4 linked regions of the Elephas maximus indicus genome follow. The protein of the gene in region 2 purifies or fractionates together with the protein of the main gene of each other region. This does not show direct contact. Links are inferred from orthologs where the notes say so. Each region holds a gene or a part of one and is shown on either strand. Other genes may lie near its edges. The genes, in order: DIDO1, SRPK2, RBM27 and SON.

Region 1 (7,879 bases), on a different chromosome or scaffold from region 2:
AGTGAGCACTGACTCAGTGAGTTCCACCTCCAGTAAGTCCACAATTCTTTACAACATCAAACCAGAGTGTGCGCACCTCTCTCACATGCAGCTAAAGGCCTGCATTTCCTGACCACTTTCCAAAATGCTTTTAAACGGACATTAATTTGGGGGAAAAGAACTGGGGACCAAAGGGAGGGAGACTAACTTTTCATTTTATACCTTTTGAAAACAGCTGAATTTTCTTACCACATATGTATAATTACCCCTTTTCCTCCCAAATATCAGTGAAAACTGTCTGAGCCTTAGGACAACAGACCACTTTTATATGCTTCTGGCCAAGAGAGATCAACTATTTGGAATTTTAACATACTTCAGAAAATTCTTAATTATCTTGATTATGTAGCTTTAAAAACAACAAAGGTCAAGAAACTTTTTTTTTCTTAGGTCTCAGAGACTGAATAGCTGATTTCCCGAAGAAGCTACTTTAAACAGGATAATTTGTATATTTATTAAGTTTTCACCATCTTTATATCATCTTTTGCAACACAACATAACTTTACTCTTGACTTCAGTAGTAAAGCTCTATCTGTGTGTACAAAAAGGGAAATTTGTGTCCAAGAATTAGGGTCCTTATTGCAAACCATTACCTGTGACGAGGTAGTTCATGATGAGCCGATTCATGTCTGCTCGCTGAATATGTAAGTTATTGAGTTTTTCCATCCACTCATCTTTTGTAATTTCATCAGGTTTTTCTGCATAACTCATTCTGGTCAATTTCTACAAGAAAAAAAATTATATCTTAAGTGGTGAAGAATTCTGACAATCATGACCATTTCTGAAATAAACACACAGCCACATCACAGAAATGAAAAGGAGAAAGTCGAGAGACTTCAAATCTGGAAACCAGGCCTGAGGCCTCCCAAACGTATATCCCGAGACCAGGAAGAAGCCAGGGTGTTTATAAGGCAGGATAAATCTGAGGGTGCACCGAGATGTCTTAGAACTAAAAGGTTGAGAGGTCGGTCGGGGTCAGGTCAAGTAAAGCCCTATAGGTGGAGGGAAGAGCTGAGATTCTGCTCTAAGTGCAAAGGACAGCCACTGCAGAGTTATAAGCTCCAAAATTATACACTAGGATGTATGTTCGAAAAAGGCTACAATCTGTACTAACTAGGCTGACAAAAATTAAGAAGTCTGACAATACCAAGTGTAGGCAAAGACATGGAGTTCTCTTGAACACTTTCATACTGCTGTTAGAATAGACTGGTCCTGCGGAAACAACGTGGCACGCTCTTGTAACGGTGAACGTGGGTACTCCTTGTCATTATTAGCTGCCATGGGGTTGGCTCCAACTCATGGCCACCTTATGTACAACAGAACAAAACACTGCCCAGTCTTGTGCCATCATCATAATCATTTGTATGTTTGAGGCCATTGTTGAAGCTATTGTGTAGTGCCTTCCGATTTCGGAGGCTCATCTTCCAGCACTACACTGGACAATGTTCTGTTGTGATTCATAGCGTTTTCACTAGCTAATTTTCAGAAGCAGATCATCAGGCCCTTCTTTCTAGTCTGTCTTAGCCTGGAAGCTCCCCTGAAATCTGTCTGCCATGGGTGGCAGACATACCAGAGACATAGCTGGTATCTGAAATACCAGAGACATAGCTTCCAGCATCACAGCAACACACAAGCTACCACAGTACAACAAACTGACAGACAGGTAGTGGGTGGGTGTTCTCCTTACAGCCCAACAATTCTACCCCTGCTAGATGTACATACTCTAGAAAAAGTTACAAAAGTGTGCCAGGGGACACACAAGCCTGCTTGCAGAAGCACCATCGACAATGGCTAACATGTGGAAGGCACTCAATGTCCAATCAACAGCGGGATGGACAAATGGACTGTAGGATACACAGCCACAATCCCATGTCTAAAGCCATCGGGTCTACATGATCTGGAATTCAGAATTCTTCATATTATAGAACAATTACATGGCACAATTTACCACACGTTACGTAACATCCTCATTGGTGTCTGAGACAGCACCCCATAATCAAACATTATTTCTTCAGTGAAATGCACAAATATTCAACTTTAATGGAATAAAAGCTATTGAATACCCTTACCCAGATAAGGTTTTACTCCCAAATGGGTTAAAAACAAAGTTTTTGGTTTTCAGAGCTGTCTGGATTTCAGAATTGCTGAGAAGGAACTGCAGCTGTTCACACAACAGAATTTAACAGAGCAGCTACAAGGAGCTCACGCAGTTACAGAGATGTCTCTTAGGAACGACAGCAAATGAAAAAGCAAGTTGCAGAGACCTAGGGGTGGCATCATAGTTTTGTGAAAACCAAAAAACAAGGCAAACTAAATAATACGTGTTTTAGAAATAAATGCGTACGTGGCAGACCCATTTTTTTAAGTAAGGGCATGAAATATAAAACTCAGGGGGATGGTTACAGGTGGGGGCGGGCTGGCAGCTCTGACAGCTTCGGGAGCTGGAGTGCTGGAGCGTGACTTCTAGGATGTATGGTGAGCACACAAGTGTCTGGTTCATTTTTCGGTTTTGTAACTTACATACAAGCTTTGTAACTTACCTACAAACTATGGCTATTACTTTATGCACAGCGAAGCACACGATAAACTGTTTCAATAAGAGAATTGAAGGATGGCTCTGGTTTTCTGGCAGAAGATGGAAGGTAGGCAGTATGGCAAGAGCTGAGCATGAAGACCAGGAGGAGACATGCAGGCTGAGAGGATGGCCATGTGGACTAAGATGGTAGAAGAGGGCAGAAAGACGGGCCAGATCCAGATTCTCTGGACACTGAGCCAATGCGACTTGCCGATGGCCTGAAGGTGGGGTGATGGAAAGGAAGGATCCAGGAAGATGAGGTGTCAAGTTTGAGACCTTGAAACGTGAGGCCATGGATAACAAGGACAGACAGGGAGTGGAACAGGTTTGAGGAGTGGGGCAAGTTTGGGGAGACTATGAGACAAGCAGGTGGAGAAGTCAAGCAGGCACCTGATCACAGGTCCTGAGCTCAGTGCTGGAAATGTTAATTACGGAAACATCCACGAACAAATGATATTTAAAGAAGGTTTGGCAAAGATCACCTAGGGAAAAAGCGTACATGGGGAGGCAGGGGGAACCAGACAAAGCCCTCAGGTCCTTGGAGGATACCAAAACGTAGAGGCCATGCAGAGACGGAGGTGCCAGCAGCAGAGTATGAACAAAAATCACTAAAACCAACACATGTTGTCACACACACACAAGACTTATCTCTTGTAGCACTAGGTCAACTGCATCACTAAGATGAAGTGTATATTCAGAGACAACAATTAAAGGTAACTTAAGGACCTGTTGTTTGACTCCACCAGGTGCTCCTTGGAAACCCTATAGAGCAGTTCTACTCTGTCCTATAGGGTTGCTTTGAGTTGGAATCGACTTAACGCCAATGGGTATGGGTAAGGACCTATTGGCCCAGTGGTTAAGAGTCTGAATGCTAATCAAAAAAGTCAGCAGTTTGAATTCACCAGCCTTTCTTTGTAAACCATATGAGGCCGTTCTACCTGTCCTATAGGGTCGTTATGAGTCAGAAGCAACTCAATGGCAATGGGTTTTAAGGACCAATATGAAAAGCCCTTTACAAAAGCCCCCTTTCAGTTTCCATTTGGCAATCAGCAATCACAGAGGACTACCTGGGGGAGGTGAGGGTGATCTTAAAAAGCAGCACCGTGCAGAGCTGACCCTGTTCTTTGCAGGAAGAACTGCCAGCCTCAACCTCCAACAGTTACATATTCCACAGAAACAAGCCAGCATCAAAAATCCTTTCTGCCAAGATACATTCCCTAGACACCGAGAGCCAGAACCACTTGCTTTCCACGCCATGACATCCGTGCTTACCAGCTCAGTTTCTGCTTTTAAAAAGCAGATTCGTTATAAAAATCGTTCGCTTGGCGAAGTCAGATATAAGAAGTCTGAGTAACTATTGCTATTCTAGTTGACGGTTCTTCCTGAACGTCAGCACCTTCACTTCAAAGACGTTGTCTTTAGGAAGAGAAACAGGGTGACAGCTCCGAGGTACAACCAAGGTTAGGTGTCTACTTCGGGAGGGAAGAAAAAGACCGAAAACGAAGCAAACGAAATAATACGTCCACCACCTTCCAGCATCACAGGTCGAGAGGGTAAACGTCCAGCTGCGGAGAACGCGCCCCGTTCTCAGGCCTCCGCCCCGCAAGACTTCCACGCGGGACTCTTTTTGGGACCGTCCCTCCCGGCCCCGACCTGCCCACCAGCCCCGGCCCCGACCTTGGCTTGCCCACCGGCCCCGGCCTCCCCACCGGCCCCGGCCCCGACCTTGGCTTGCCCACCGGCCCCGGCCTCCCCACCGGCCCCGGCCCCGACCTTGGCTTGCCCACCGGCCCCGGCCTCCCCACCGGCCCCGGCCCCGACCTTGGCTTGCCCACCGGCCCCGGCCCCGACCTTGGCTTGCCCACCGGCCCCGGCCCCGGCCTGCCCGCCCGCCCGCCCCGCGCTCCCGGTGACGCTCGGCCGGCCGCCGCAGCCATCTTACCGTGTGACCCACCTCCCGCGCTGCACGGTCTCGGCAGCAGCGGCGGCTCCGTGGCCGCTCCAGGGGGCTGGGGCCGGGCTGGGGAAGGGGCGGCGGCGGCGGCGGCGCCGGAAGAGAGAGAGGCGGTGGCCACAGCCAGGCGGGGGCGGAGAGGAGGAGGTGACACACGGGCGGCCGCCCCCTCAGCCTACTATCGCGAGATCCCGGGCGGCAACCAATGGAGGTTTCCTGCGAAGGGGCGGAGCGCGACAGTCACCCGGAAGTGCAAACACCAGCTTCCGTCCTTGCGCAGAACTCCCTCGCGCGGAGCCGTCGCTCTACGGGTTGGCGCGAGAGTCAAATCGCATCGATCGCTTCTAAGGAAGATGGCAGACCCCGCAGCGTCGAGGTGCGGATACTTCGCGCGGGGATGGCGACGCCTAGACTGAGTCAGAAACGAAGGCCCCAGCGTCCTTTCCCGTCGTTTGTGTGAGGCCGGGGGAATGGGGCAGGGGCGGGGGAAAAGATGCCTGGTGCTCCTAGGCCGCCCCGCAGACGGAGTCGCCTCCCGACGGCCTGCTTCCCAGGCGCTTGCCTTCCCACGGCCCAGGGGCGGAGCCATTAGGTCGGGCCGGGAGTGGGCGCTCTCGAAGGCTGTTGGGGTGAATTCCTTGTTGATTCCACGAGTGTCATTGAGCGCGTGCTCCCTCGAGGCCAGATAGGCCGGACCATCGTGCCCGCAGGGAGCCTCCCGTCCAGACTCGTCACGTCGTCTCACGAGCGGCCGCTTGGGCCGCCTGCGCCGAGGGAAGGGTCGGGGGCTTGCGGAAGACCACCTTGAGAAGGCGGCGCGCCATTTTCCCCGGCTGCCGCTGGATCCGCCGGACGAGGCCGTAGCGCATGTTCGCGGGTTTATTTCCTTATTTCAGTCTGTTTTCTGAAGAAGAATGCCGACTCCTCCAGGGCAGGGTCTTGATTTCCCATTGCTGGAGATTCAAATTAAAAGATTTAAGTGCGCTTCGGGAAAAAATGTTAGAAATGTTGAGGGGGCAGCCCTTTACATGGTCCGGTGAGAATCTCACGGCAAGTCTTTAGAAGTCAGGAGTGAGATGGTTTCGTGTGATTGCTTGTTCAGTTTTATGAGATCTGAATAACCACCAAAGTGATATCAAACTTTTTCAGACAGAAAGCACGTCCAATTGGCAGTTTGGCCATGAAGAATGGTTATGGCCATTTTGCATCCTTTGCAGCTGTTTATACCTATAATAAATAACTTTAGAGATCAACTTAAAAACGTGCCGGGGGTTATAGAGTTTTAAAATTCTTTCAGGATTATACAAGCAAAAAGCTTGAAGGCCCAGCGTCGTAGGGAGATAGACTATTCCTGACTAAAGAGGCTTTAGCAGTGCTCACCTGTCAGCTGTGCTTTCCCTGTGGGTAATACAGTTAATAGTCCCTCCTCTCCCCCTCCAGCCAAGTAGTTGTCAAGTCCTACTGATTTCACCTCCTTCATCGCATCTAGAAAGCAGCTGCTTTTTATTGTTTTCCAACTTTTCCCCTATTGAGGAAAAATTTTGTTGTCAAGTGCCATCGAGTCACTTCTGACTCATAGCGACCCCACCGTGTACGAAACACTGCCCGGTCCTGCACCATCCTCATAATTGTTGCTGCGTTTGAGCCCATTGTTGCAGTCACTGTGTCAATCCATCTCCTTGAGGGTCTTTCTTATTTTCTTTGATCCTCTACCAAGCATGATGTCTTTCTCCAGGGACTGATCCCTCCTGATGACATGTCCAAAGTACGTAAGACCAAGTGTTGCCATCCTCCTTTCTAAGGAGCATTCTGACTGTACTTCCAACACAGATTTGTTTGTTCTGGCAGTCTATGGTATACTCAGTATTCTTTGCCAACACCATAATTAAGAGGCATCAATTCTTTGGTCCTCCTTATTCATTGTCCAGCTTTCGCATACGTTTCGGGTGATTGAAAACACCATGGATTGGGCAAGGCACACCTTAGTCCTCAAGGTGACAGCTGTTTAACACTTTAAAGAGATCCTTTGCAGGAGATTTGCCCAATGTAGTGAGTCTTCTGATTTCTTGACTGCTGCTTCCATGGATGTTGATTTTGGATCCAAGTAAAATGAAATCTTTGAGAACGTCAATATTTACTCCATTTATCATGATGTTGCTTGTTGGTCCAGTTGTGAGGACTTTTGTTTTCTTTATGTTGAGGTGTAATCCATACTGGAGGCTGTGGTCTTTGATCTTCATCATCAGTAAGTGCTTCCAGTCCTCTTCACTTTCAGCAAGCAAGGTTGTGTCATCTGCATAACGCAGGTTATCAGAGAGTCTTCCTCCAGTCCTGATGCCCCGTTCTTCTTCTGTAGTCCAGTTTCTTGGATTATTTGCTCAGCATACAGATTGAATAAGTATGGTAAAAGGATACAACCCTGATGCACACCTTTCCTGACTTTAAATCGCGCGGTATTCCCCTTGCTCTGTTCAAACAGCTGCCTCTTGATCTCTGTACAGGTTCTTATGAGTACAGTTAAGTGGTCTGGAACTCCCATTCTTCACAGCGTTATCCATAATTTGTGATGATCCGCACAGTTGAATGCCTTTGCGTAGTCAGTAAAACACAGGTAGACATATTTCTGGTATTCTCTGCTTTTAGCCAAGATCTGTCTAACATCAGCAATGATATCCCTCATTCCACATCCACTTTTGAATCTGGCTTGAGTTTCTGGCAGTTCCCTGTCGATGTATTGCTGCAAGCGTTTTTTAAATTATTTTCAGCAAAACTTTACTTGTATGTGATATTAATTATATTGTTCAATTATTGCTGCATTCTGTTGGATCACCTTTCTTTGGAGTGGTTGCAAATATGGATCTCTTCCAGTTGGTTGGCCAGGTAGCTGTTATCCAAATTTCTTGGCATAGACTAGCGAGCACTTCCAGCACTGCACCTGTTTGTTGAAACATCTCAATTGATACTCTGTCAGCTCCTGGAGCCTTGTTTTTCGCAGGTGCCTTCAGTGTAGCTTGGACTTCTTCAGTACCATCAATTTCTGCTCATATGCTACTTCTCGAAATGGTTGAACATTGACCAGTTCTTTTTGGTATAATGACTCTGTATTCCTTCCGTTTTCTTTTGATGTTTCTTGTGTCGTTTAATATTTATCTCATAGAATCCTTCACTATTGTAACTCGAGGCTTGAACTTTTTCTTCAGTTCTTTCAGCTTGAGAAATGCCAAGCGTGTTCTTCTCTTTTGGTTTTCTATTCCCAGCTTTTTGTGCATGTCATCATAATACTTGACTGTCTTCTCAAGCTGCCCTTTGAAATC
Region 2 (7,567 bases):
TGTTAGTCCCTCATTAACAGTCATTCAGTCCAACAAAATACAAATCTTGAGCAAAGTGAAACTGAAAATCTGCAAAAGATACATTTCACAAAGTTGATGGAAAACACAAAGGAAATGCTAGAATCCCAAGCAAAAATACTAAAAAAATGAGGCTATAGTAAGTATTAGAAGGGTTAGTAAATAAAAACAAAAATCAACAAGGACAATAATATGCTAAGTGTCACAAGAATGAGAACTGTTCAATTATTAGAGACAGAGAGGGAAAATAATAAAACTCTTAAATAGTTTGCAAAAATTCCCTCCATGTCCAATCATGTTATCACGTAACTTAGTATGAAAAGGTATGCCAAAAACAATCAACACGATATATTTTTTCATTCATTCTAAAAATCCGTACATATTTAATAACAAGTTTTGTTAAATAAAATGTATAAGCTTACATAAATTTGATTTCATTTTTCAAGTTATAATCCCAATTCTACTCCCCATTCCTTAACAGTTGCCTTTATGGATAACATTACAAAGAATGGGAATTCCAGAACACTTGATTGCGCTCATGTGGAACCTGTACACAGATCAAGAGGCAGTTGTTTGAACACAACAAAGGTACACTGCGTGGTTTAAAATAAGGAAAGGTGTGCATCAGGGTTATATCCTTTCACCACACTTATTCAATCTGTAGGCTGAGCAAATAATCAGAGAAGCCAGACTGTATGAAGAAGAATGCAGCTCCGGGATTGGAAGAAGACTCATTAACAAACTGCGATATGCAGATGACACAACCTTGCTTGCTAAAAGTGAGGCAGACTTGAAGTACTTATCAATGAAGATCAAAGACTGCAGCCTTCAGTATGGATTACACATCAACACAAAGAAAACAAAAAATTCTGACAAATGAATCAATAAGCAACATGATAAACGGAGAAAATATTGCAGTTGTCAAAGATTTCATTTTACTTGGATCCACAAATCAATGCCTATGGAAGCAGCAGTCAAAAAATCAAAAGATGCATTCACACCGCATTAGGAAAATCTGCTGTAAAAGACCTCTTCAAAGTGTTAAGAAGCAAAGATGTCACATTAAGGACTAAGGTGCACCTGACACAAGCCATGGTGTTTTCAGTTGCCTCATATGCATGCGAAAGCTGGACAATGAATAAAGAAGACCAAAGAAGAACTGATGCCTTTGAATTATGATATTGGCAAAGAATACTGAATATACCATGGACTGCCAGAAGTAACAAACAAATCTGTCTTGGAAGAAATACAGCCAGAATACTCCTTAGACACGAGGATGGCAAGGCTTCGTCTCAAGTACTTTGGACATATTATCAGGAGGGACCAGTCCCTGGTGAAGAAAATCATGCTTGGTGAAGTAGAGAGCCAGCAAAAAACAGGAAGACCCTCAACGAGATAGACTGACACAGTGGTTGCAACAATGAGGTCAAGCTTAACAACTGTGAAGATGGTTCAGGACCAGGTGGTGTTTCATTCTGTTAACACTTATGGTCGCTATGAGTTGCCATGACTTGCTGACACCTAACAACAATAATTCCAAAACAGGATTACTTGTGTTCCTGAATATGATAACGTGCCAGTGGACTACAGTATGTTCACACCAAACTCTGCAACGAGGCAGGGGCTGGGGGAAGGGGGTTAAAGGAAGTGAAGGAGGTGGTTTCAGACTGGAGACACTGCTGCCACTTACCAGAAACTCCATTTTACTAGAGGAAATATTTTTTTTCCTGTCAAAAGTCTTTCATTGTTATTCTGGATGTAATTTGTAAACCAAGAAATAAACTAGTTTACTATGAGAGGTTTGCTGTTGACTTTCAAATTCTACGAAGAAAAGCAAGCAAATTCCCCCGAAATTGTGGTCTCTATTCTTAGCAATACCCACCTTCAGAGAAGTGTGACTGCAAGCCAGTGAGCAAGAAGGCAGAGAGGGGAAGAGAAAGCTGTTCAGGCCACATCCACACCAGCAGTCCAACATCCCAGATCACCCAGCCTAAGTGCTGTGTAGAATAAATTAAAACTTTACATTCATTGCACAATATGGGTTATCTGTTATTTCAGAAACTAAATGCAAAAAAAGTATTACAGTGTGAAAATACGAATGTTTAAATAAATTCCTAATGTTATTAGCCTCACCATCTTGGCCCTTCATTAGCAATGAAATGTATTGAAACTGATCCCTAAAAACAGTCTAAATTTCTCACCACAGCGAAGTATCATTAATAGTTAATTCTGCCCCTAAACAGAACAAAGACACTTACTTACACTGAGCCTGGTGGGGAAGACAGAAGAAGTAACACAAGTTCTTGGATGACTGTGAGTTGTTATACTCAGGATGAGACCCAATGCTCTGTTCAGCATGAGGCCAAGTTTCAAAGTTTTCTCTGTTCTACATTTAAAAAAACAAGTATCATTTGTAAAATTTTCTACTATATCTCTTTTAGAAATTATACCAGAGAGTAATGCTGAGAGAATGGAAGTATTTTCATAATCCTAACTTAAAGATAATTCTTTAAATACTACATATTAATATCCAACTGGAACTGCTTGAGTCTCTAATGTTGTGACTCACAGGTCATACCTTATGCCAACTTAATTTCATTTACAATTTTCATATATGAAGGACTGTTAGTTCACCAAGGTAATGCCTGTTTTCCTCCTCCTCTGATAAACCAAGGCCCATGGGAACATCTCAAAAGGAAACTTCACTATATTAGGAGGTGGCAAAATTATTGTGCAAGGCTTACTTACATGTGTAAGAAAACAAGCCTTATCAAAATATGCAGGCAAAAGAGGAAGTTTCCCTGATGCCCAACACACATTTTCAAACCTTAAGAACTGAAATTGATGAGATACAGCCTTAACTTGACCGTCCTCCTATATTCCCTGAGCACCAACAGGTGTTGGGGCAAAGAGACTGGTTACAAATATATATAAGGCTAAAATCCCTAATATTAAACATTTACCTTGAACTGTCAGGCTCATTTAATCCTTTATATGAATTAACTAATTAAATTCTCACAACAAAGGGAAGAGGTAGGTACTTAAGATAATTTCCATCTGACACATGTGGAAACTAAAGCCCAGAAAGTTTAAGAAATTTGCTCAAGATTCGAGAGCTAAACAATTCCATTTACAGTAACACCAAAAACAAATAAATAAAATACTTAGGAATAAATTTAAACAAGGAAGTACAAAACTTGTAAATGGAAAACTACAAAAGATTGCTGAAAGAAATTAAAGGCCTAAATAAATGGAAAGGCCTCCGTGTTCATAAATTGGAAGACTTAATATTGTTAAGATGACAGCACTCCTCAAATTGCTTTACAAATTCAAAGCAATCACTATCAAAATTCCAACAGCCACTTTGGCAAAAATGAACAAGCTAACCCTAAAATTCATAAGGAAATGTAACGGGCCTTGAATAGTCAAAACAATCTTGACAAAGAAAAAGAGGACTCACACATCTCAACTTCGAAAAGCTTGAGTGATCAAGACAGTGTGGTACTGGCATAAAGACAGATATATAAATCAGTGAACTAGAACTGAGAGTTCAGAAATAAACCCCTGTATCTATGATTAATGTCAACAAGGGTGCCAAGACCAATCAATGGGGAAAGAATACTCTCTTCAACAAATGGTGCTGGGACAACTTGGATATCCACATGCAAAAGAATGAACTGAACACTTACTTAACTACCTAAACAAAAATTAACCAAAAATGGATCAAAGGCCTAAAGAACAGTCTTAGTTATCTAGTCCTTCTATAACAGAAATACCATAAGTAGATGGCTTTAACAAACAGCAATTTATTCTCTCACAGCTTAGGAGGATAGAAGTCCCAATTCAGGGCACCAGCTCTAGGGGAACGCTTTCTCTCTGTCTGCTCTGAGGAAAGGTCCTCATCCCCTTTCAACATCTGTGGGCCTGGTGTTCCTTGGAGATCGCCATGTTTCTTGGCATCAATCTTCTCCTGGGTCTAGGAGGTTCTTGGCACAGGGACCCCGGGTCCAAAGGGTGCACTCCGCTACGGGCTCTTCTTTCTTTGTGGTAGGCAGGTCCCTCCTCTCTGCTCCATTCTCTCTCCTTTTATCTCTTGTAAAAGGAAAGGTGTGACTCAAGCAAGGGTGATGTATGCTACCCTAATCCTGCTTCATTAACATAACAAGCATAATTGGATCTCATTAACAAAACCTAATCCTGTCTCATTCACATACAGAAGTCAGGATTTACAACACATAAAATGGAGCATAATCAGATCACAAAATGGAGGACAACCACACAATACAGGAAATCAGGACCTAGCCAAGTTGACACATATTTTGGGAGGGCACAATTCGATCCATGACATTCTACTTTATGGCCTCCAAAATTCATGTCCTTGCCACATGTCAAACACATTAACCCCATCACTAAGTAAAAGCTAAAACTATAATATCCTTATAGAGGGAAACATAGGTGTAAATCTTCATAATCTTGCATCAGGCAATGGTTTCTTAGGTATAGCACCAAAGCATAAATAATAAAAGATTAAAAAAATATATGGAGTAAATTGGACTTCATCAAAATTAAAAATTTTGTACATCAAAGAACATTATTAAGAAAGTAAAAACAGAATGGGAGAGAATATTTGCAAATCAGGTATCTAATAAAGGTATAGCATCCATATATAAAGAACTCTTACAACTCAACAATAAAAAAAAAAAAAAGAACAATCCAGTTTAAAAATAGGCAAAGGATTTGACTAGGCATTTCTCCAGGATATACAAATGGCCAACAAATGAAAAGATGTTCAACAACATTCGTTGTTAGAGAAATGCAAATCAAAACCACAATGACATACCACTTCATTCCCACTAAAACCAAAAACCAAACTTGCTGCTGTCCAGTCAATTTTGACTCATAGCAACCTTACAGGACAGAGTACAACTGCCCCATAGAGTTTCTAAGGAGCAGATGGCAGATTCAAACTGCAGACCTTTTGGTTAGCAGCCAACCACCCTCTAGGATGATGACTATAATAAAAAAATACAGACAATAAAAAGCGTTGGAACCTTCAGGCACTGCTGATGGGAATGAGAAATGGTATGACCACGGCAGAAAACAGTATGCTACCTCCTCAAAAACTTACTCATAGAATTACCTTATGACCCAGCAATTACACTCATAGGTGTAATACCCAAGAGACTGAAAACAGATGTTCACATAAATACCTTTACATTAATATTCACAACAGCATTATTCATAACTGCCAAAAAGGGGGGGGTGTCTATCAACCAATGAATGGATAAACAAAATGTGGAATATCCATACATGAAAAGGAATGGAATACTGATACATGCTACCAAATGGATAAACCCTGAAAGCATTATGCTAAATGAAAGATGCCAGACACAAAAGATCACATATTGTACAATTCTATTTATATGAAACATCCAGAATACATTTCGATACAAACACAAAATTGACAGAGACAGAAGGCAGATTAGGGGTTGACCAGGGATGGGAGAGGGGAGACTGGGGAGTATCTGTTAATAGGTACAGGGTTTCTTTTAAGGGTAATGGAAATACTATGGAATTAGATAGGCATGATAGCTGTACGAAGGATCCCTGGTAGCACAGTATTTAAGTGTTCAGCTGTTAACTGATAGCTTGGTGGTATGAACCCATCATCCACTCCACGGGAGAAAATGTGGTTTTGGATGGTTCCACAACATGTAAATATACTCAAAACCACTGGATTGTACACTTTAAAATGTCGATGTTTATGTTATGTGAATTTTATCTCAAAAAAAAAAAAAATTCAGAGCTAGCAAGTAAAAGAACCAAGATGAGAATCCAGGCATTCTTCTAACTCCAAAGCCTAGCTCCATAGCTAGCTGTGCTACAGAGACTGCAAGGAGGAAATGACCTATCTGTCCGGAGCAGGGAGTGGTCAGAGGCATTTGGGCTTGGTTATGTAGGTTATGGAGGACCTGCCAGGTGAAGAAAGTAAGCTGGAGTCCATTCCAAGCAGAAAAACTGCACAAGCGAAGCTACTGAGAATCATTCATGTGGGCCATCTAAGTCAATGTGGTAGGTGACAATAGTGAGGTGAACACTGATAGCAAATGAACCAGAGATACTGGCAGGGACCTGTTCCTACAGCATCTTATATATCACACAAAAAAGTCTTGGTTTTATTTAGTAAAAATATAATCAGCTCTACAGTCAAAACTAAAATAAGAGATTCAATAGGTAAATGAGATCTAAAAGCAAATTTTAAAAATTTTATGTGATAGTGGGAGAAAAACATTAAACTTTTCATGGAGCTTTTTATAAGGCTTGTCGATTCACCATAATTCATTTTGTGTCTGTACGCCCACACAGTACCCCTCAGGAACTTTGCCAATTATCACTTTTCTCATTTGTAAATCCTAAAATTCTCACCTCAAGCCTCAGTTCGTCGCTTATTTCTATAAAAAATCTTTCTCACAGCAGCAATAGTAAAGTCTACTTCCAAGGCTTTGTTGCTTTGCAAATGTTATGAAGTACCACAGACACTTCAGCAAAATAGACCAAGTCTATTTTATTCTTGTTTTACGGTCTACAAGGTTCCCTACCAATTACATGAACATGAAATCCAAACTAGTTCTGCATTTTAATAAACAGAAGTCAGCGTACAGGACCATAAACACATCAAGAATACAAAAAGTCTTAGGTCTGTTTTATCAAGTGACCTTGAATCAGTATCCCAGAGTACACACTCTTCGTCTTTATCATCTTTAGCTGTACACTGAGTCGCTAGCTTCTAGTCACTTGAAAACAACATTTTAAGCATGAAATAATGCCTGAAGATTAATAATATACTAGTAATAAATAGCAACAATAACAGTAATAACTAACATTTTATTATTTTCTACCAGTTATGTGTCAAGCACTCTTCTGTTTGCTTTACATATAATAACTCTCTTAATCCTCCCATAACCATGCAAGAGAAATATTATCATTACCCTCATTTTACAAACAGGAAAACTGAGGCACAGAAAGGCTAAGTAACTTACCATGGGTCACAGAGGTAGTATGGCAGAGCAGGGATCTGAACCCAGGTAGTCTATGCCTAGGGTCTGAGCCCTCAACTGCTGTATGCCAGCAGATGAGACTATTGTATTCAACAAAATCTCTTCAACAAAAAGGATCCTGTTCTTTTAGGGCTTGCAACTTGGAGGGCACGAAGTGATGAATATAAATACGTAAAATTACAAAACAAACTTAAATACTGCTATACAAACATCAGCTACAGGAACGATTACACTGAATATGGGTAAATCCCAATACATACAGATATAGGTAAAGTTTTATTATTTCATAGGTATACATGCTGGGAATAAGGGGAAAAAAGATAAAAATCACATCCTTGCTTTCAGTTAAAGAGGTAAGATGGCACAGGATTCCAGAGAACTTTCAAAAAGGTAAGAGACAAGAGAGAGCCAGAAAATCCCAGACATAGATTCTGGAGCTCCATAAGGCTATTTCCCACAGGAACAAGTATTTTCCTCCTTTAATTTTGGAT
Region 3 (7,593 bases), on a different chromosome or scaffold from region 2:
TTCTGAATTCTATTCTAACCTTTATTTTTTTTTTTTATTCTAACCTTACGGTACCACACAGTATATGCAGTCAGATGTTGCCCAAAAGGACGTTATGCAGGGCAGGACTGTATATTGTTAAGCGCTAAGTAATTGAAGAATTTAGATCTCTTTTTTAAAAGCCCTAATTAAGTACCAAAAGGTAAAACACAAAAAGAAGCATGACGTGTGCTGTAAGTTGAACATATAACTCAAAACAAATGGAAAAACTAAATTTCAAGTAATCCTTTTGAATGCTAATTTTACCCATGAAAATTACAGAATATCTACGAACATTTATCAGTTTGAATAGCCAAAAAAAGACAAGTGAAAACATGCTTAGAAAGTTTAAGTTCCTACCCAAAGTAAATTTTAAAATTAAAAAAAATGCATTGCCCTGAGTAAGACATTTTAGGGAGCTTTTAAAAAAAAAAGAAAGAGTAACTACAGTGTTAAAAGTTGTTACTTTCTACCTAAGACATAAAATATACCTTTAATACATTTAAAAGTATCTCTGCCAACAAAGAAAATCAGAGCTTGTACGGAAGAGTGTTTAAAAAAAGGGGGGGGGGGGGGCGAACAGCAGGTGTACAAAATAGAGAGATTTCTCTTTTTAATCTTAAATAACGTTAAGAATAAAAATTTTAAAAATATATATTTTTCTTTATTCAACCTTTTCCATATGCGGTCAATTTCCTTAAATCTATTTCCTACCTTCGCCACAATCCATCTCTATCTTCGTGCCCCAAAACTTTTTATTGGTAAGTATGATGTATTACTTGAGATGCCCATATCCTTCTACAAAATTCTCAAGTGTGTCCAGAAGTCATTTTCACTTTAACTAGATCACTTTTGACCTAAAGCTCAGAAGCCCTTAGTGTGCCTTTATTCATACCTGTGCTCTACTCACACACTCCTTATCCTCTGAACATAAATGCCACATCCCCTAAAGTTGCCTCCCTTCACATTCTGCCTTCAAAGGGCTGACACACTGGTCTGCAGATAACTCTTTTCCTAGGTGTTACTGTCCACCCCAAGAAACCAAAGTAGCAAGAAAAAAAAAAAAAACCCGAAAAACAAAAACTAGTTAGTTAACAAGGTTCCTCAGGAGGACCAGGAAATAAACAGGGAAGCAGCTTCACAATGTCTCCCAATAGCCCCAACTTTACCATGCCTACACATCTTCCAAACTGCCCCTTATATCCACCTCTGAAAAACACTCCATTTTTCCACTAAAGGGATCTGATCTAATGAACCAGAGCCTGCCCATCTCTTCCTCTACCCCCTCCTCCTTTTTTTTCACCCAATCTCCAAGAAGGATATTCAGGCAGAAATAAGGAGGGGACAGGAAATGAACCTCTTTCCCTTTCCAAGTGTGCCTCTTTCCCAAGAGGATTAAAGGCATTTTTCTCTCTCCAGCCCTCCAACCTTCTTTCTCCTTCCACCTAGGAGAACTGCTCCAGACTAGTTATATCCCAGTCCCCCAAATAAATACTCCACAACCCTACCCCTTGGAATGGTTATAAAGCAAACAAGGGTTAGAGTTGATAGCTCTGCTAACCCTTCTAAGTCTCCCAATAATATTTCTACCACTATCTAATACTACTGAAAATATTTCAGAAGAACAAGTCCCTCTCATCTTTTTTAGCCCCTCAATAATAATCCTACACCCCAATACTTCCAGTTCTGCTTCCAATTGTTCAACAATTTTTACAAAGCCCTTACTCTTCCTGCTATCCGTTTTAGGCCTCCAATACCCGAATTGAAAATTTCCTAGATGCTACAGGCACATCCCTTTCAGTCCCTCATCCAACAATAATATTGGATACCAGGATAGCCCTTTCGAACTCCAATTAAACTTATACCGAAACCAAACCTACTGCCGTTGAGTCAATTCTGACTCATAACGACCCTATAGGACAGAGTAGAACTGCCCCACAAGGTTTCCAAGGAGCGCCTGGTGGATTTGAACTGCCAACCTTTCGGTTAGCAGCCGTAACACTTAACCACTACACCACCAGGGTTTCCAACTAAACTTATAAAAACCTCAAAATTCTTTCCCAGCTCCCAATGGTATTTACATATTAATCTGTTCTACCAGCACTCCTCAATAATACTTCACAGTTCCTTAATATCCTTGCTATGATATTTATCAGCGTCCCAATAATTTCCAGAACCCTTCGATGCCCACATCTCTCAGCTTCCTCATATTTTTTAAATCCTTCAATATTCCTGAACCCTTAGAGCACACCAATAATCGCTATAAAGCCTCGGTGTCCCTGTTATCCCTTTCTGCTCTACTGTTTTTTAAAAGCCTTCGATACCCTCCTTCCAGTCCTTTTAGCCCCCGATAAACACCGTTTGTAAAGCCCTCGACATCCTGCTATTCCCTTCAAGATCCCAATATTCACAAGTAAAAAATCCCTCGATAGCTCTACTATGTATCCCTCTCCGTCCTCAAATAGCAGTATCTTAAATTCCCTCACTATTCCTGCTATCCTTTCTAGCGCCCCAATATTTATATTTAAAAAGCCCTCGCTGTCCCTACCCTCCCGCCGTTCCCCATCAACACCGCCTCTACGCCCCTGCTGCTCTACCCCTCCCCCCCACAATGGTGATAGTACTACAGAGAAGACGTCGCCCGGACCTCCGCACCGCGGCCCCTTTGCATCCCCCACCGCCTCCCCTCCCCCCACGCCCCCGCGGGCCCCCAACGCCCACGTTCGCCGGCGCCGGCCCAGCCTGCCTCACTCACATCGGCTCCAGTAACTTGGCCAGCCAGGACTTGAGGGCATCCACATCCTCTATGAGCATGGTGCAGGGAAGGCGGGCTCGGCCGCCTCTCTTCTTCGGGCCTGCCGTGGGTCTCCCCTCGCTGCCTCCTCACGACCACCTCACAGCTCCCCTTGCCCCAGCCCACCCGGCATCTTAGGAGACTTCAACCTACTCCCCCGGCCCGGGCCTAACAGGAACTAACCCAAGAGCCCTCACTCAACCGAACGCGATGGCTCAGATAGGCGGGAGACAGCGCCGACTGGCGAGCACATTAACCAATAAAGTAGAGAGGGTTGTGCGCTCAGCGCCAATGAAAAGGCTCGCCCGCCCCGCCGGCCGGCCGTACCCAGTTAAGGAGGAGGGATGTAGCAAGGTAGGTGGAGAGCGCAAGTGAACTCCTGGTGCAAGATGGTATCTTGGAGAAGGTGCTGTGCCTCTTAAAGGGGCCGCGACGCCTCTTTTTGACCACGCCGGCGCCCGCCACTGAATACCGGTGTCTGGTGCTAGGGCTGCTTGGGGGAACCCGGCGAGCCCCTCAGCCTGGTTTCTTCCTCTCGTATTTCCTGGAAACACACACACTCGTGTCCCGAAATGACTCAGCTGTAGTAAATCTGCAACACAAGGTGCAAGACGTTCACGTTCGACACATTGCACTGAATGTAAAAATTTACTTTTTTCTTCCTAACACACCCATTTTGATCGCCACTCACGCTTGCGATTTTTGCGGCTATGCTTACACTATGCAGAATGCTCCTGACAACCATGCCTTGGACTCCAATAATCTTCGTTTTTAAAACGTGGCGCACGAATGTAAAAGGCTGAGGCCATCTCAATTTTACCACTTATTTTTAATGTATACTCTATTTAGGAAGTGAAACAAATTCTAATAGTTTTTTTTTTTTTTAATGGCATATCTAAAAGGAGTTTTTAGTTTTGATTTTTGCAGGGAGAATTTTCGTCAGGAAAAAAGATTTTTTAAATAATTTTTTTTTTTTTTAATTTTGAAATTACTGAAATAGACAACTTAGTTTGTACTAGCTCAGAAATGCCTTTTGGAGTTTGGAAATCACTGGCTTGGCAGTGTTGTTTATTCAACAGCAATTAGTGAACCTTTGCTATGTATCAGCCTTGTATAAGGGACTGGGGTCCACTGGTGAGCAAAACAGGGTCCCTTCTAGAAAGCTGAATGATTTTGGGGTTATACATGATAATAATAACATGTTGAAAAATACCTCATGAGCACATACCTCCTATAAAACAGATGGACCAGCCCAGGATAAGCAAGCATACTAAATATCCATAGAGCAAGGTTAGGCAAACTTTGCTGTAAAGGTCCAGATAGTAAATATTCTTGGCTTTGTAGGCCAAAGACCACTGTGGCAACAATTCGTCTCTGCTGTCATGGCATGAAACCAGCCATAGACAATATGTAAATGGATGAACGTGGCTGTGTTGCAAGAAAACTTATATGAAAATATCAATTTCATGTAATTTTCACATGTCAGAAAACGTTCTTTTGATTTTCTTTTCAACTATTTAAAAATGTAAAAGCCATTGCTACCTCATGGGTGTACAAAGACAGGTGGCCAGCAGGATTTGGCCTGTTGCCATAGTTTGCCCACCCCTTTATCACATAGTATATAAAAGGAGACCTGCACTTAGAGATCATCTAATGAACCTCCATCACTAATAACCCCACCAACGTTGTAAATGAGGAAGAAAGCCCAGAGAGACTAAGTGATGTACAGAGAATCACACAAGTCTGCAGGTTACAGAACAGAGGTAGTACCAGATCTGACTGTAAGCCCAGAGCTTTCACATCTCACTATTGCCTCTTCTTCCCTCTCTCCTCTCAGTTTTCCTTTACACTTACCCACATTATTCCTTCCGTTCTTTCCAGTAAGGAAATGAAGCGCTACCAAAAAATGATGGAAGTTACTCCGGGAACATCTAGCTCAACTGGTGTAACATAGTTTTATAAAGAAAATGTTCTGCATTCTACTCTGGTGAGTAGCATCTGGGGTCTTAAAAGCCTGTGAGTGGCCATCTAAGATACTCCACTGGTCTCACCCCAGCTGGAGCAAAGGAGAATGAAGAAAGCCAAAGACAGAAGGGAAAGGTTAGTCCAAAGGACTAATGGACTACAACTACCACAGCTTCCATCAGACTGAGTCCAGCAGAACTAGATGGTGCTGGGCTACCACCAACAACTGCTCCGACAGGAATCACAGTAGAGGGTCCCAGACAGAGCTAGAGAAAAATGTAGAACAAAATTCTAATTCACACAAAAAAGACCAGACTTACTGGTCTGACAAAGACTGGAGAAACCCTGACACTATGGCCCCGGACTCCCTTTTAACTCCGTCCTGAAGTCACTCCTGAAGTTCACCCTTCAGCCAAAGATTAGACAAGCCCATAAAATAAAATGAGACTAAATGGGCACAACAGCTCAGGGCAAGGACGAGAAGGTAGGAGGGGACAGGAAAGCTGGTAATGCGGAACCCAAGGTCAGGAAGGGAGAGCGTTGACATGTCGTGGAGTTGGTAACCAATGTCACAAAACAATATGTGTACTAATTGTTTAATGAGAAGCTAGTTTGCTCTGTAAACCTTCATCTAAAGTAAATTTTCTTTTAAAAAATGACAGAAGTTAAAAAAGAGAAAGTTAGAAGTGATTTGATTAGACCTGAGGCTGGACAAGAATTCGATAATAGGCTACAAATAAATGGAAATTGCATTTACACAGTAAATCACTCCTCTGCAAGAATATCAAAATACTTCCCAAATGTACTTATAAAGTAAATTTGGCAGGTCTTGTTGCCAAAGTGAAGGCACCGAACACCAGCTTACTAGTGACCAAAGGCACTAGTAAGTACTAGTGACCAAAGGCACTAGTAAGTACATTAGTAATCAAGTATATTACAGGGAATAGAATAGACATGCTTGTTGCTGTTGTTATTAGCTGCTGTCAAGTTGGTTCCAACTTGTACAACAGAACGAAACGCTGCCTGGTCCTGTGCCATTCTCACAATCATTGCAATGTTTGAGCCTATTGCTGCAGCCACTGTGTCAATCCATCTCATTGAGGGTCTTTCCTCTTTTTCAATGACCCTTTATCCTACCATGCATGATATCCTTCTCCAGGGATTGGTCCCTCCTGATGACATGTCCAAAATACTTGAAGCCACATCATCCTCAATTCTAAGGAGCATTCTGGCTATACTTCTTCCAAGACAGATTTGTTCCTTCTTCTGGCAGTCCATGGAATATTCGATATTCTTCGTCAACACCATAGTTCAAAGGCATCAATTCTTCTTTGTTCTTCCTTATTCGTTGTCCAGCTTTGACTGAAAGTACCATGGGTTTGCTCAGGCACACCTTTGTCCTCAGGGTGACATCTGTGCTTTCTAACACTTTAAAGAGATCTTTTGCAGCATATTTGCCCAGTGCAATACACGGTTTGATTTTTTGACTGCAGCTTCCATGGGTGTTGATTGTGGATCCAAATAAAACGAAGCCCTCAACAACTTCAATATTTTCTCCATTTATCATGATGTTGCTTATTCGTCCAATTGTGAGGATTTTTATTTTCTTTATGCTGAGGTGTAATCCACACTGAAGACGGTAGTCTTTGATCTTCAGCAATAGGAGCTTCAAGTCAACTTCCCTTTCAGCAAGCAAGGTTGTGTCATCTGCATATTGCAGGTTGTTAATGAGCCTTCCTCCAATCCTGATGCTCCATTCTTCTTTATGTAGTCCAGGTTCTCGAATTATTTGCTCAGCATACAGACTGAGTAAATATAGTGAAAGGACACAGCCCTGATGCACACCTTTCCTGATTTTAAACCACACAGTCTCCCCTTGTTCTTTTCCAACGACTGTCTTTTGGTCTATGTACAGGTTCTGTATGAGCACAATTAAGTGTTTTGTAATTCCCATTCTTCTCAATGTTATCTGTAATTTGTTATGATCCACACAGTTAAATGCCTTTGCATAGTCAATAAAACACAGGTTAACATCTTTCTGGTATTCTCTGCTTTCAGCCAAGATCCATCTAACATCAATGATAGCACTCATTCCACGTCCTCTTCTGATTCCAGCTTAAAATCTGGCAGTTCTCTGTCGGTGTACTGGTGCAACTGTTTTTGAATTATCTTCAGTGAAATCTTACTTTCATGATATTAATGATATTGTTTGATAATTTCTGCATTCTGTTGGATCAGCTTTCTTTGGAATGGGCACAAATATGGATTTCTTCCAGCCACTTAGCCAAGTAGCTGTCTTCCAGATTTCCTGGCATAGACAAGTGAGCTCTTTCAGCATTGCATCCATTTGCTGAAACATCTCAATTGGTATTGTCAATTCCCGAAGTCTTGTTTTTCGCAAGTGCCTTCAGTGCAGGTTAGACTTTTTCCTTCAGTACCAACAGTTTTTGATCATATGCTGCCTCTTGAAGTGGCTGACTGTCAGACGATTCTGTTTGGTACAGTGACGCTGTGTATTCCCTACTTCTTCCTTCATCATTCGATATTTTGCCCATAGAATCCTTTAAAATTGCAACTCGAGGCTTACATTTTTTCCTCAGTTCTTTCAGCTTGAGAAATGCTGAGCATGTTCTTTCCTTTTGGCTTTCTAACTCCTGGTCTTTGCACATTCCCTTATAATACTTTACTTTGTCTTGTCAAGCCACCGTTTGAAATCTTCCGTTCAGCTCTTTACTTCATCATTTCATTCGTTGTAGCTACTCTATGTTCAAGAGCAAGTTTTAGAGTCTTATCTCTTTTGACATCCGTTTTGGTCT
Region 4 (7,204 bases), on a different chromosome or scaffold from region 2:
TTAAAGTTCTCAGAACTGCAAAAGTAAATTTACCTTTTTTTTTTTTAAATAAAATACTCCCAAAATTTTTAATTGAGGCTTTTGGGTTACACAGGTTATTTCCCTCAAGTACAAAAACTATTAAGAGCCAAATCACAAATTCAAAGAAAAATATATGACCTAGCGTTAGAGTAGAAACTATGGGTACAATCAAGCTATGCCTGTGCATAGATCACGATTACCTCAATAATATCCCAGAACACAAAAATTAGCCACAGACACATTAGGTAAAAAAGAATATAACATAACTTGTAGCCTCAGATCAGGTTTAGACTGCTAAAAGAATATCACAAAGCGTAAGAAGAAAAATACATGCAGGAAGTTTTAACCCAGTTATAAAAAAATCCCAGTACCAAAAAATTTTATGATATTTAAAAAAAACTCACAAAACAAGCAATAATTTATTATACCAAGAAAAAATGAGTGGGTAGTCTAACATATTTTCAATCTACAGGGCCAGAGAATATTGACAGATATAAGAACATATCATTTACAGTTGTTTTTTTTTACTACTATCGTATAAATTAACAAAAATGTTTTCGAAAAACCATATAATTTCAACAGCTCAATTCTACCTAACTGAAAACAACAATTATGCTCAATACCTGATAAAGGTCTCAATGGTCAAAAAATGAAAATACTCACTAGATAAATCTTAATAGGAAATATTCAGTTTTCTAATACAACGAATCATGTAAAAACTAACACTTAACTACTAATTAGGTGTCACTCTTCTACATTTTTAACTAATTTAATCCTAACAAACCTCTATAATCATGCCATTACTCTCATTTGGGGAGGAAAATGAGGCACAGAGAGAACAAGAAACTTGGCTGGATGTCACACAGCTACTTAGAAATGAAGCTGGTATTCATAAGCAGAGCATCCTCTTAACCACCAACTACATACAATACTTATGTTACTTATCTTAAATATCTAAAGGTCAGCCTCATTACCCACACTGATGTACCTAAGAGCAGACGGAGAAAAAACCTTAATGAAATGGCAAATAATCCAAAATATTTTTAAATTGATAACACATTACATGTTGCTTATGGTGAAGCTACGTATCTTGTATTTCGACAGTAATAAATTGCTTTCTCTAATACTCTTTTTAGACTTTGAGTGCTTCTTTTTACTTTTCCCAAACACTTATTATGTAACTCTCCCTTCTAAAGGACCCCAGATTGAAAAATCAGAAAAGTACACTAAAAAAAGTTCAATCTATGAGGAAATTATCATGATTGAACCTTATCTCTCAATTTTTATGACTGCTACCAGGATGCAAACTGAAATTACTAAAAAACAATGAAAATATCAAACAACCTAGCTATCCAACGATACATTCCCACAATGGAATTCTACACAGCCATGAACAATGTTGCCAAAGATTACCGAGATTGTGGTATGACAAACTTGTTTATATATTAAGTGAAAACCAAAACAAAGAAAAACAATCCCATTGCACATAACATATATATAATTACAGATCTGTATCTGCACAGGAAAATAAAGGGGCATAACACCAATAATTACACGGGTAGTTTTCATTTTCTTTCTTTTAAATATTCTACAATAATATTTATTTTCTAATAAAAAACTGATTTTTGTTACTTACAAAAGCAAAACTTACACACTAAGCAAACACACGACTTTCTGCATGCCACTATTAAAAAGCTTTCAGGGAAATTACATTCCCTTTGCTCAAGTTTTCTTTCATTATCCTAAAAACATTAGCATATAATTTTTTTAAAAAACCATATAATGAGCAGATACATTTCCCATCTAAAAAACAATACATCTGCAAAAATAACACTTTGGACAATTTTAGCAATATTACTCCATTGCCCCAATAATCTCATGTTAATTCGGACACTTAATTTACAATCACGCTTTTATTTTCAAGTTTACTCACTGCTCATACGCTCTACTTTTAACACACAACTAGCAAAAACATTCGAACTCAAATATCTGACTTAAGCTTTCTTTCCTATCTCTACACTTGAAAATAGTATTTTACACAAAGCAAAAATATTAAGACAACCACTGAACAACAACACGACCCACAGTACTTTCCTCTCTGAGTAAACAACTGTTTCTTTGGAAGTCACTTCCCTTTCTATTTGCGTGGAATCAAGCCTAAACTCCAGAACATGTATCAGCGACAGTAAAAGTAGCGGGTTGGTCAAATATGTCAATTGGGGCACGAGTGGCAAGAAAAAGCAAACTACACACATAAGCCCACTTTCCACTTGTTAAAATTAAAAAATGACTCATACCCCAAAGAGCCCTACCATCCTCACCTCAAATATTTTTACAAAATACCTAACTAATTTCAGCTACTTTCATTTCAGTCTCATCAGAATGTCGACGGACGGAAATCATAAGACGCTGGGGCCCGAATAATCCAATTAACGAATGCTCATTCCCAAACCGTCTGAAGATTACAAAAACAAAGCGGGCTGAAGATCACCCAAGAAATGGCCGTTGGAGACCCTCTCCGGTCAGCGGCACCGGCCGGCCAGCTCGGCCGAGAGGGGGAGGGGAGCGGCGGAGGCGGAGCCGAGGGGCCTAGGCCCGGCCGCCGCGGACAAGCCGGCCTGCGAGGCGTTCAGGCCTAGGGGGTGGCCGGCCGGGAGAGAAGCGCCAGCATCGTAACTCGGCCCGAATGAGGGAGCCCGGGTCACCGCGGAAAGGGCCAAGTTCCTCGCAGGGAAGCAGAGCGCGGAGGGGGGAGGGGAAGCCGGAAAATGGATCCCAGGCCCAGGCGGGGCTGTAGCGGGGCCCGAGCCGAGGAACGACGGCTTCTCTGAAGAAAAGCCCCAGGAAAAGCTACAATGGGCCCTAACGGACCCTTGGGACGAGAACAGTCTGGGAATCGTTTACCTGGAAAGTTCCTGTTGAATTTCCCGGAATTTGCTGACCACGAAAGACCTAAAAATCTGCTCGATGTTGGTCGCCATGGCGTCCGCTCCGTTCTCTCAGCTCCTCCTCGCTAGTCCTCCAGGCTCCCAGCATGCCTCGGGAGGCGGCGCTGCGGCCAGTTCCGTCTCTCCGCTTCTTGATTGGCTCCTGTAAGAGCGATGGCACAGGCACGCTTTGCCGTCGAGCCAATCAGTGAGCACGGTTCCACTTTCCTCCGCTGTTCCTGAGCGGCTGGGGTAGAGCTGCTGACGTTTGCGCCGCGCACGGCTCAGTCCGCCATGTTAGTGTCTGACGCAGGCGCCATTACAGGAGAAACCTCTCCCGAGGCGACTGTGTCCGCTTATCAGTCCCCAACATTGTTTTGGGGGGGGGCGGGGCCGGAGAAAGGGGTTAATAGGTTTATTTAGCGACTAAATGCCCGAGATTAAATGCTATGAAAAAGGGGGAAATGTTTTGACATGGGGCCTACAGGCGTCCCCGTGTGGCGCCAAGTTCTGTTCGGTCAGGGAGACGCATCCAGGAAAGCACGGGCCAGCCCGCGCCCCTATTGTGAGAATGCGGAGAACACGCTTTCACCCCGCCTGTCCCATTGCAGCCTATCATCGACCTCAATCTTAGCCAGAGGCCGGAGGTCCTGAGCGACCGGTTCTCAAAGCCGGGCGCGTCACGAGACTTTGCGCTTTGGCTGCTCAGTGCGGACCCTCGCTAGCAGCGCCCCCTCCTCAGAGCTGGGAGGCTCTCGGGCTGCAGCGGCGACGTTACGTGGCGCCGGTGTTAGTGTCACATTCGGAACGTGCGCCGCTTGACAGCTTTGCTCAAGAGCAGGCTCTGGCCGCGCCCGGGGGCGGGAACCACACTGGATTACCTCGCCGCGGGGACCGAGCGCAGAGCAGGCCAATGAGGCGGCGGCGCCCGCCCGGGGCGGGGAGGAGCGCGGGCGGCGGGAGGGTGCGCGTCGGATCCGGCCCGGCTGACTTCCGCCGCGGCGGTCCGGCTCGGAGCGCGCCGACGTGAGTTCGAGTCGGAGCGCGGCCGCCAGCTCGGTGCGTGAGCAAGCCGCGGCCTTGAGAGAAAGCACGTTTGTGCTTGGTGTGGCTGCTCGGTGTCGGGTGTGGCCGTCGGGATTTTCGTCTTTGTTTCCCAATGTGGGGGGTGGAGGTTGGCCACGTGCTCTTCCCTTGCTCTTACCTGGGGCTTACGTTGGCTTTATCACCTTTCCTGCTTTCTGTGGTGTCAGGGCTTTAACTTTCTTGTCTATTTATGTTTTCTTAGGCCCAAGACTTAAGCTGTTGTGCCCGTTTTATGGTGTTTTGTTTCTATGCACCCATTGTCTGCAGCAGATTAATTAGGTCCGCTTTTGTAATTGGTTTCTGTTTTTATTATTCAGCAAAGGGTTGGAAATAGTTTTACCCGGCTTTCTTGTTCTGGTTATAAGTTGCTCGTTTTAAATATAAGGCGACTGAGGCCCGAGGAGGGTAGTTAAGTTACTCAGGGGCTCCCAGCTAATGAAAGGCAGAGTCTCAACCAAAACCCAGGCCTCCGAACCACCCTGATGTAGATCGTTTCGGGCTAAGTGATGCTGTTTCGTAATTAACTGTTAAAAAGTAAAAATTGTTGCTGTCGAGTCGATTCCAACTCACAGCGACCCTATAGGACAGAGTGGAACTGTCCCATAGGGTTTGCAAGGAGTGGCTGGTGGATTTGAACTGCCGACCTTTCTGTTAGCAGCCGAGCTCTTGACCGCTCCACCAGGGCTCCTGATCTATTCCTTCACTGCACCTGTTATTCCAGGAAAATGCAGTCCTTTATCTGGATTTAAGGATAAGTTTATCTCAGATATTTCAGTCCATGCATTTTCCTTGAAAATACCTCTTATGCCCTCCTAGTGCAGTCGTTTCTCTGTTTATGAATCTCAATTTTTTATTCAAAAATGAATCCCAGGGTTCATTTGCAAATCGTGGTTTCTAAAAGATGTGCACTCTAAAATATCAACCGTGGTTTTCTTTATGCAGCGTGTGTTTTTCTTCAGAGTTCCTGCTTCACAGACAACCATGGCAGCCCGAGTGCTTGTCCTTGGCAATGGAGGAAGGGAACATACTCTGGCCTGGAAACTTGCCCAGTCTCATCATGTCAAACAAGTGTTGGTCGCCCCAGGAAATGCAGGCACTGCCTGCTCCGAAAAGATTTCAAATGCTGGTAATCGTGTTTTAAAGTGGGAAATAGTAGTTATGGTTTGTGATACGCTGTCAGCCACCTCTGGCCATAGATTGCTATTCAGATGTTTTTGTTTTGTCAGCCTTAAAAGTTACGTGGTAATTTGAATATCTGCATGTGTAGTAAGCCTAAGGTATTCTATTCTTCATGATGTGACATTTTCTTCTCTTAGGTTACCTTAAACCCATATTTTATAAAACACGTTCATCGAAAAAGTAACAAGTACTTAATAGTAGATTAGAAGCATTTCGATGTCTATTTTTGGAAATGAAAAGTTGAGCAGTTCTCTGAAAATGTAAATCCTGGTAATTCTAATTCCATAATAGATCTCAACCCTTATCCCTTCCACTGATAAAAATGATCAGTTCACACACTACGTTAAACTCTTTGGCAGCTTCCCATGGCAACTAGAATAAAGCTCAAACCCTTTATTGTGTCTTACAAAGCCTTTTGTGATCTGGCTTCCTTCTGCCTTTCCAGCCTTTTCTTTTATGTCCCTTTTTTCTCTTTTCACTGTGCTTCATCCATGCTCTCCTGCCAGTTTCCCAAACAGAGCTCTCTTGGACTCAGCATTTGTTCCCGTCATTCGGGCCTCAAATGTTACCTCAGAGAGACCTTTCCTGAAGTTTCTAACTACAGCAAGTTTCCACCCCGTCTCATTTGTTTTCTGTCATGAGCCACTGTTTATTTTTACTCTTTCCTTCTGTATTGTCTGTCTTTTCTCCACCCACCCCCAACCCACCCACTAGAATGTAAGCTGCGTAAGGACAAGGAACTTTTCTATCTGATTTTGCATCCTGTCCACACTGCCTAAGTACTCTATGTGGCACGTACTAAGAAAAAAACAACGAAGAAAATGCATGCTTCCCTGGGGTTTTAGCTCTTGGGGTGAGGTGCAGTGCTGAATCTGTTTACTGGAGAACTGGTACACTTTATTAAAACATGATACCCATCAGAGCCTCCTAAGATTGTCATAAGGCTGCTAGCACTGGCAGCTGCCGAGGTTAGATGTGTACTCTCGCTTTTACTGAGCACATGCTGATGTAGTTGGCTCTACTCAGCACAATTATACATGGAGCTCTTAACCCAGGGTACACGGTACTCCATCCCTACCTGAGTCAAGCAGTTCCTGTGGGTTGAGAACTCATGACTTTTTCTGGATATGTACCTTAGGCATCGCAGATACTACCTCTTGCCCCATCCCATATAGGTATGTGCGGAGTCACTGAGGCTTCAGCCAACTGAAGAATGGTAGTTTAGTTAGAGTGAGGCAGAGAGCGTCTGTGGGACCCAGGCCTGGTACGTGGCCAGTGCTACTGCTAGTTACTTAGAGCTGCATCAGAAAAGAAAATTTACCTGGTCTCTAGGTTGAAGAGGCGAACTGGGTCTTAACTAAAATCGTCCATCAGTTCTTAGCCTAAATGTCTCTGCCTCAGAGAGAACCATCATTATAACTGAAAACAGCCTCCCAATTCATCTCATATCACATTTGTGCAATCTGTTTATACCCAGTAGTTTCTCGTTTAGATGTTAGTTACCTGGCTTTGCCACAGTGGAACGTAAACATCGTAAGTGTAGATGCCCTGTTTATGTTAATATCTTAGCCCCAGTGTTTACGATACTATCTAGCACGTGTTTGTTAGCTGCCCAGAGAGTCAGCCCCTGACTCATGGCAGTCCGTGCACAACAGAACAAAATGGTGCCTGGTCCTGCACCATCCCCATGATTGGTCACAGATCAAACCACTGTGATGCATAGTTTTCGTTGGCTGATTTTCAGAAGTAGATCGCCAGACCCTTCTTCCTAGTTCGTCTGAGTCTGGAAGACTAAACACGTAGCACATGTCCTGTGCCATCGAGTTGATTACAAGTCATAACAACTCTATAGAATGGAGTAGAACTGCCACATAGGGTTTCCTAGGCTGTAACCTTTACAGGGGAGCCCTGGTGGCGCAGTGGAGCTTGGCAGCTAACCAGAAGGTTGGCAGTTCTGAATCTACCAGCTGCTCCTTGGAAATCCTATGGGG

What was found.
Region 1: the proteins of SRPK2 (region 2) and DIDO1 purify together in Homo sapiens (affinity purification with mass spectrometry; 3 studies listed by BioGRID and IntAct, with this or other methods). This does not show direct contact. The link is inferred for Elephas maximus indicus from reciprocal best matches to the Homo sapiens genes SRPK2 and DIDO1.
Region 3: the proteins of SRPK2 (region 2) and RBM27 purify together in Homo sapiens (affinity purification with mass spectrometry; 3 studies listed by BioGRID and IntAct, with this or other methods). This does not show direct contact. The link is inferred for Elephas maximus indicus from reciprocal best matches to the Homo sapiens genes SRPK2 and RBM27.
Region 4: the proteins of SRPK2 (region 2) and SON purify together in Homo sapiens (affinity purification with mass spectrometry; 4 studies listed by BioGRID and IntAct, with this or other methods). This does not show direct contact. The link is inferred for Elephas maximus indicus from reciprocal best matches to the Homo sapiens genes SRPK2 and SON.

Annotation. Positions count from the first base shown.
Region 1 is NC_064843.1:5,039,472-5,047,350, forward strand, and holds the start of DIDO1 (death-inducer obliterator 1), read left to right. Parts: upstream 1-4,873; 5' UTR 4,874-4,941; exon of another isoform or gene 4,942-5,021; intron 5,022-7,879. Other genes in the region: GID8 (glucose-induced degradation protein 8 homolog), read right to left, coding at 630-747. UniProt on the Homo sapiens protein: Putative transcription factor, weakly pro-apoptotic when overexpressed. Tumor suppressor. Required for early embryonic stem cell development.
Region 2 is NC_064826.1:44,371,464-44,379,030, reverse strand, and holds the start of SRPK2 (SRSF protein kinase 2), read right to left. Parts: upstream 3,054-7,567; 5' UTR 2,377-3,053; coding exon 2,281-2,376; intron 2,016-2,280; coding exon 1,901-2,015; intron 1-1,900. UniProt on the Homo sapiens protein: Serine/arginine-rich protein-specific kinase which specifically phosphorylates its substrates at serine residues located in regions rich in arginine/serine dipeptides, known as RS domains and is involved in the phosphorylation of SR splicing factors and the regulation of splicing.
Region 3 is NC_064820.1:160,225,161-160,232,753, reverse strand, and holds the start of RBM27 (RNA-binding protein 27), read right to left. Parts: upstream 3,018-7,593; 5' UTR 2,833-3,017; coding exon 2,774-2,832; intron 1-2,773. UniProt on the Homo sapiens protein: May be involved in the turnover of nuclear polyadenylated (pA+) RNA.
Region 4 is NC_064836.1:28,050,622-28,057,825, forward strand, and holds the start of SON (protein SON), read right to left. Parts: upstream 3,064-7,204; 5' UTR 3,003-3,063; coding exon 2,926-3,002; intron 1-2,925. Other genes in the region: GART (trifunctional purine biosynthetic protein adenosine-3), read left to right, coding at 5,016-5,160. UniProt on the Homo sapiens protein: RNA-binding protein that acts as a mRNA splicing cofactor by promoting efficient splicing of transcripts that possess weak splice sites.